2 linked regions of the Bombyx mori genome follow. The protein of the gene in region 2 purifies or fractionates together with the protein of the main gene of each other region. This does not show direct contact. Links are inferred from orthologs where the notes say so. Each region holds a gene or a part of one and is shown on either strand. Other genes may lie near its edges.

The links. Proteins that work in one complex are often made in the same cells at the same time.
Region 1: the proteins of F-box/LRR-repeat protein 4 (region 2) and BCL2/adenovirus E1B 19 kDa protein-interacting protein 3 purify together in Homo sapiens (affinity purification with western blotting; 4 studies listed by BioGRID, with this or other methods). This does not show direct contact. The link is inferred for Bombyx mori from reciprocal best matches to the Homo sapiens genes FBXL4 and BNIP3.

Annotation. Positions count from the first base shown.
Region 1 is NC_085117.1:571,551-575,309, reverse strand, and holds the start of BCL2/adenovirus E1B 19 kDa protein-interacting protein 3, read right to left. Parts: upstream 2,587-3,759; 5' UTR 2,205-2,586; coding exon 2,165-2,204; exon of another isoform or gene 326-2,164; intron 253-325; exon of another isoform or gene 108-252; intron 1-107. UniProt on the Homo sapiens protein: Apoptosis-inducing protein that can overcome BCL2 suppression. May play a role in repartitioning calcium between the two major intracellular calcium stores in association with BCL2.
Region 2 is NC_085114.1:5,910,977-5,914,735, reverse strand, and holds the start of F-box/LRR-repeat protein 4, read left to right. Parts: upstream 1-1,249; 5' UTR 1,250-1,369; coding exon 1,370-1,594; intron 1,595-3,134; coding exon 3,135-3,228; intron 3,229-3,759. UniProt on the Homo sapiens protein: Substrate-recognition component of the mitochondria-localized SCF-FBXL4 ubiquitin E3 ligase complex that plays a role in the restriction of mitophagy by controlling the degradation of BNIP3 and NIX mitophagy receptors.

The DNA of each region.
Region 1 (3,759 bases), on a different chromosome or scaffold from region 2:
TTTTGATAATATCCTGAAAAGCACCCCACGCTTTTTTTACAATAAAATCATTTTTTCTTACACTATTTTTAACTCAAATTTATTAAAATTTCTTTTCTGTTTTTTAGTTGATTTTTCTATAAAAGCTTATTTTATTCGTTTTTTTAAACTATTATTTATTTAGATGTTTAGCTCTATCGAGATGTACTTGTTAGTTCTATGGTAGTCCATGGTATTCAGAACATCTTCTGCCACAGCAACACACACATATTGGTATTTCTCAGTCGCATGCATTCTTGGCAGAGTGGTCGTGGTCATCACTTCGGGTGGTGGTGCGCTTCACCAGACTTGATTGGTATACTTCAATGTTATTTTCTATCCATCTACAATTTACTATTCTATGTTTTTTTATGAGGTTGACGCTCTTAAATCTACAATGGGAACGTCTCGGTCGTTTTCAATTGTGGCCAATTTATACACGATTAGCTTCTGACAAAGGCTACATACGTTCAGATAAGATGAAAAATTGACGTTTATAAAATAAGCAGTGATAATGTTGAACTTCAAATTCGAAATGTTAGGCATGAGGAATTTAACTTTAAAAAATTCTCAGTTATCATGAAATGAAAGCAATTTTTTCTTTCAGATTTCCAAATATTTTTAATAGATTCAGAAATTGAAAAATATATGTTTGTTATATTTATTTATGGCAATATTCAAGCATTTACATATTCTACTAGAAAGTACTAGGGGAAACTAGAGGTTATCATCGTTTGTCTCATAGAGAAAACTGGAATATTTTCTTAGTCTTTAATTCTTAATTATGACAGTCAAAAATTAAATAATAATAATAATTATTATTATTTATTTATTTCTCTCTTAAAGGTATAGTACAAATACAAATGGAAATTAACCTTGTAATTTATTTTGTAAGCCTAAATCAAATGAAATTTTTATTATTTTAGTTTCAATAAGGGCAAAATATAGACGAAGACACAAACAGAATAGACACCGTTCAGAGATGTCAATTTACAAAGAATTTCCAGTTAATTGTCTTGAACATATAGACACAATGGTAATACCAAATTTAATGGTCAGAATTTTTACGGTATAAGATTTAAACAAAGATTATATTTTAGAACACAAGTATCATACCCGATGCTTAATCATATGACGAAAATAACTCATCAGGAAGTTGAATAGTTAATGCGGACGCTACAGACCAAAATAGAAGTGGTAGAATTACTCTAAAAGTTCAGGTTTTTTCAAGACCGCCTCCAATGACAAATGTTTCATGAAACCAGTCCAGCTTTTTATAAGCATGTAAAAAGCGATATGCTTTTTTTTAATCCTCACATTCGACAAGAATGTGTACTAGGAAGCTATATAAGTGAAGAGGTTGAATCTTTAGCTACAGTTGACTAAATTAAAATGTAATTAAGCCAATACAGAATAACCAGTCAGTAGGAACAATGGAATTATTTGTTTGTTATATTATTATTTATTAAAATGGCTATTATGTTTTATGAAAATTGAATTGAAATATTTTTGTAAATATATTCATGTGAAGACACTTTTCTTACAATTTCGTCACAGTTGTTAAACAATGCATAATGTTTAGTTTAATTTTAGGTAGACAATTATTATTAATACCCAGGTTTTGGATTTTAATTTTTAAATTGAAAGTCACTGGTTGTCTTGAGAAAATTACATTACTAATAATTACCAATTTGTTATGTTTTAGAAAAGGATGATTTTAATATATCAATCACACTTTTGGTTTTTTTTTCTGAGGAAACTTTCTCATTCCGAAAGTGCAAGTACCAGGCAGCCATATAAGTGAAGAGGTACCTACGCATTTTTAGTTACGGTAAAAGCTGACTAAATAGGAATATGATTAAGCCATATCTTTTTCATTAGGATTATGGTATTTTCATATAGCCGGTTAACATCAGACGAATCACGTACGCAGATTGTGACGCACTATCGCGTGTTTTCGATTTTGCTGACCTCGACAGTTCAACAGGCTATATGACGCCATTTCGCGAAATCAAAACAACAGCTGTTAGAAAAAAAAACAAAAGCAAACTCCCAAAAATTGCGTTTTATGTAATAAATGAGACGTAAAAGAAACCTGTTTGTAAAGTTGGACGCCACATACTCAATGTTTATTTACAACACTCACCGCTCAAGTCTTCGATTGTGTTCAGTTTTCTCGACGCCATCGCGCGGAAATAAGTCGTGGTACTAGAAAATTACTTATAAACGTATTTTTAATAATATACGCTGTGTTCAACCGGGCTTCTTCGCTTTTAAAATGCGAAAACAAAGAAAGAACGGACTGAATCAACACCGAATGCAACCTTCTTTGTTTGTGTTTTGTGTTGTTTTGATTGGAACTGACAGTTGTGGATAGTGTGGCATAATCAGTTCAGATACGATATGCGATATGATTAAATTTGTTAATCGATTAAAGTTCGATTTCAGACGCCTTAACAGATTTTATTTCAAAATTGTGCAATTTAAAAAAATGTTGTTTTTCGAATGATTTCATTTTCATTTGTATATAATATGTTGAACCTAATAAATTTAATGTCTTCGATTTTTTCAGTATTATCGATTATTATTTTTCCTATCTATTCCAGTAACCTGGAGGGGTCATACCATATTCATCTGGCGAGTTAGGTGAGCTCGCGGTGCTTTAACCTGGCGAATTTGCTAACACTAGCCCTAGCAAGAGCAGTGCTTCACAAAATCTACCACTGGATCGGAAACGCGATCCACTGAGAACTGAGAGAATAATTGGCGGTAGGACCTCTTGTGAGTCCGTGTGAGTAGGTACCGCCACCCTGCCTATTTCTGCCTTAAAGCAGTACTGCGTTTTGGTTTAAAGGGTGGGGCAGCTGCTGTAACTGTAACATACTTGAGACTTTAGAACTTATATCTCAAGGTGGGTGGCGCATTTACGTTGTAGATGTCTATGGGCTCCAGTAACCACTTAACACCAGGTGGGCTGTGAGCTCGTCCCCCCATCTAAGCTATCTCAAGGTGGGTGGCGCATTTACGTTGTAGATGTCTATGGGCTCCAGTAACCACTTAACACCAGGTGGGCTGTGAGCTCGTCCCCCATCTAAGCAATAAAAAAAAAAGTTGGCGTGAAACTCAGTGCGCTGGAATTTTGATCTTAAAGTTGTAAAAACAGGAGGTAAATCATGATAAGATAAATTTTTTTTTCATTTATCCTTACACTTCTATATTTACAAAATGAAATAAATAACTTTTAATCCAGAAGTGAAACCTACCCAGAAATAGTTTCCAAGTTAATCTTATTGTTTTATTGTTTTGTTTTACTATCTACCGTGTTTAGTCTAATAAAAACGGGGACAATGTAATAAATAAAAATACCGAAGAATTCCTTATTTAATGTGCTCTGAACTTTAAGCGCTTACAGCTGTCGATCAAGGCTGGTTTGAATGGTTACTTCGAGATAGAACAGCAGAGAGCGAGAGCGCGTATCCGTTTCTCGTAATGAATTAAGTCATAGTGTAACTATGTGTCATTGGTGACCTTAATCTTTAAGGATAATTAGATTTTGTCATCAACAAAGTATAAATATGTTAAGTCAATCGAGAAATTTTATGCCTTGATTCAAGAAAAAAAATCGCGTGGTAGCTGCGATGGTGTGAAAAAATATCAAATAATAGTAATAATTAAAGACAAGTTAAATATATAAATAAATAGAGAGAAATTGTATAATATAAATAATTCATAATAATAATA
Region 2 (3,759 bases):
AGTGACGCGTCGATAGCGCGTCGCGAGATGGGGTACTGAAATAAATATAAAAGGATGGCCATTTATAGGCAAAAACAGTCCTCAGTGGATCTTCGACAGAAACAGTTCTCAACAGACCATCAAGACAGAAACAGTTCTCAGCAGATCATCAAGACAGAAACAGTTCTCAGAAGCTCTCCGACAAAGAAACATCAGCAAGACAGAAACAGTTACCAGCAGTTCTCCGATAGTACAGTTACCACCAGTGAACCAGACAGTTATCTGTGAAACCTCGCTACAGAAGCCGAAACCCATCGAAAGAAACAGCAGTCTTCTACCAGCGCACAAACAGACAGCAGAAAATATTATTACACGACTCGGAAACAGCCATACAGACCGGGTCGTGTACACTACACATAACATCGCTTGTGTTTAAGAAATTGTAAAATCTATTAGTTTTAAACAATACTTCTCAGAAAAGGTAAATTAATTCGGAAATTATAAATATTGCTCCACTAAAGTATAAAATATGGGAAAAAGTGTGAAAAGTTAATAGTTGGGGAATAAAACCGAGCATTTGAGTTGATTAAACATTATTACCAACAGTTGAATTGTGATTTCTGTACAATAATGTTACTAAAAATGTATGAGAATAAACTGATATTCAAAATTTTTTCAAATTAAATACGTACTCTAAAGTATCAAATACTGGAATTTAAATATATCCATAAACGGCAATAGCCGCGATATTATGGATCATTTTGAGCCTTTAGGGGTATTTTGTGAAAGTGTGTTTGTTTTTTAAATTCCTGGGATTCTAACGATTTTGTTGTATGATCCACATTTATTCCTTTGTTCATTTTGATTCACTCTCTAACGAACCAGCATTACAACCGCAGCCTCTGACGTCATACTAAAAATAAATCCTTATTTACCATAATACTTCTTAAAATAATACAAATGTATCTTTTTGCGACCATGCTTGTATGAAAAACAGATTATTTTAAAGGTATGCTGACCAGAGATTAGTAGAAGTATGATGCTTACGTTTAAAAATGTAGATCTATTTCTTTTGAGTAGGTAGGTTGACAAAGAAATACCAAAGAGTAGCGAGAAAAAATACTATTTAATATTATTATGTATGTAGTAGGTACGTTAGTACATAATTTGAAAAAAAATTGCTTGATTTCAATGTATAATGACAGTGAATCATTTGACAGAAAGTTAACTACCGTGGATTTTGTTTTGGATCTGTGAAAATTTTTCCATTGTCAACGTCAAAACAGAAACCAAAATAAAAAATCAAAACATTGTTGTGTTGACTGTCGTTCAGTGTACTGTATCGTTCTTAATATTTTGTCCGTAAATTGCGTTAATTAAAATAGTGAAAATGCAGAGTGCGTCTGATGTAATATCATCGTTGTTTTGGCTTAAAGACAATAGTGATATTGAAGAAGACCCAGAACAACAAATTGTAGAGCAATTTGTGCAAAATGTTGAAGACTTTAGCTCTCAGTACGGAAGTGAAATCAGTGTTTCATATACAGCTTTCAACCTCCGGGGTCCACCATCCAATTTTCCTGACTACGGAGATTACCCTCAAGCCTTCGTTATGGTAAATTTATTACAAAATTACTAGTAATAATTTTCAATCTCAATTTAAATTTAAATTATGTTGCCTTAAGCCCATAAACTTATGCACTAGTATACCTTAACTTTTCATAAATTCGTAAAATAAAATGGGGTAGCCAATAATTAATTTTATAGGTTGGAGGAAATGTTTTTGAACTAGCTGCTCAAAATTAGAATATTTAAATTCCACTCTGTGGTTGAAAATGGCCATATAATTTGGAATCCTGAGACATTTTAAAAGTTAAATATTTTCGACTTGTAAATTTACTTACTTATCTACAGAAAAAAAAAAAAAAACATATTAATCGCATTTGTTTTTCTGCAAGAAACTGGTGAACTTGTACCACATAAAGTAACAATGCAATTCTAAAAATTGGTACATATGACATGAAATAATTAATATTAATTGGTGGTCAAAATACCACACTGGTGGTAGGACCTCTTGTGAGTCCGCACGGGTAGGTACCACCACCCTGCCTATTTCTGCCGTGAAGCAGTAATGCGTTTCGGTTTGAAGGATGGGGCAGCCGTTGTATCTTTACCGAGACCTTGGAACTTATATCTGAAGGTGGGTGGCGCATTTATATTGTAGATGTCTATGGGCTCCAGTAACCACTTAACACCAGGTGGGCTGTGAGCTCGTCCATCCATCTAAACAATTAAAAAAAAAAATCTTAATAAATGACAACTCAAGACTTGATTCAATTTATATCTAACATTTTCTTTTTGTGTTTTTCTTTTCTTTATTCTGTATTGTACACACAGTTAATACAATAAAATAATTGCAAAAAGTTATAAAATGGCGAGCTTAACTCAACAATTGAATTATATACCAGCTAACTGTTCTTAAAGAGGGTGAGCTTTACATAGGTGGGTATAAGAGTACAATCTAATCATTTTTTACTGGCTATTTTTTGTTTGAAGCAAGAAAAATAGAACTGTTTCCAATATATTTTATTGATGACACTAAAGTCATCAATAGTTTCTAAATAAATTAATTAAATATACAAAAGTCATAGGTAAACTTAATAAACTGTTTTCCTTTGCCTATATAAGAAATTTTAATTTTTAAAGAAAAGCTAGCCATTTTGGCTAAGGCCTTTGATTTAATGATTAGATATTTGAAATTTGTCCAATTGATTCTTGAAAAAGTTTAGTGTTGGTGTCTTAGTAACTTTTTCTAGAAACTTGTTCCATAGAGTCATAACTCAACATGGTAGGATTTATTTTAGGGGGTGGTCTTGTAAATGCTTTTGTTTATTGAATGGGCTGAAAGACAAGCTTGTTATTTAAGTAAGCTGCAATATCCTATTATGAACCTTTTTCTGTTTACACTCAATCATCCTACGCAGTGTGAGAGTATGTTTCTAAGTCATTCACAACCTGTGATCTATAGCATAATGCATTTAAATTAGTTTTGAATGGGACTTAATATGATTCTGCTTACTTTAGACATAACATTATGAAAAATATACTTAGTGTGTAAAAATTTCAAAATACCTAATTCAGCATAAACATTCTAGAGGACTTATGGCACCTGGTGGGATGAAGCTCCATCAGCACAAGAAGACTACATGCCACAGAATGCAAGCACTATAACAAGTCAAGACTTTGTAGGTATGTATGAACAATGATTAAATGAGAAACTTCAATCATAATTAAATAATTGTAAACTGCTATTGAATATTATGGGTTTTATATCATGACTCCTATATCAATAAAAACGCGATATACCACATACAAATTTGATAATCGTGAGAATTAGCAATATTGAAATTAATAAAACCAGTAGTTGCACGAATTGACCACATTGAATAATAATCTGAAATCTTTTAGAGGGCGACATTGATGAAACTATTCGTGGGTGTACTAGGAATACAATTTCTAGATATTCTTACTGGCTCATATTTTCTATTCGTTCCCTCAATGCTGAGGATCGTGACTGTATGTCAATCTTCTCCACTCGGTCCGGTTCTGCGCCATATGTACCGCTCCCCATATCTGGCCTCCAGTCACCTCCTTGAGTTGGTCAACCCATCTAGCTGGCGCTCTTCCTCTAGCGCGCTTCCCCTCCATCTGTCCGAGAATTGTGAGTTTCTCCAGGCTGTGCAATGAGGATCGCATTATGTGCCCAAAGAAACTCCGGAT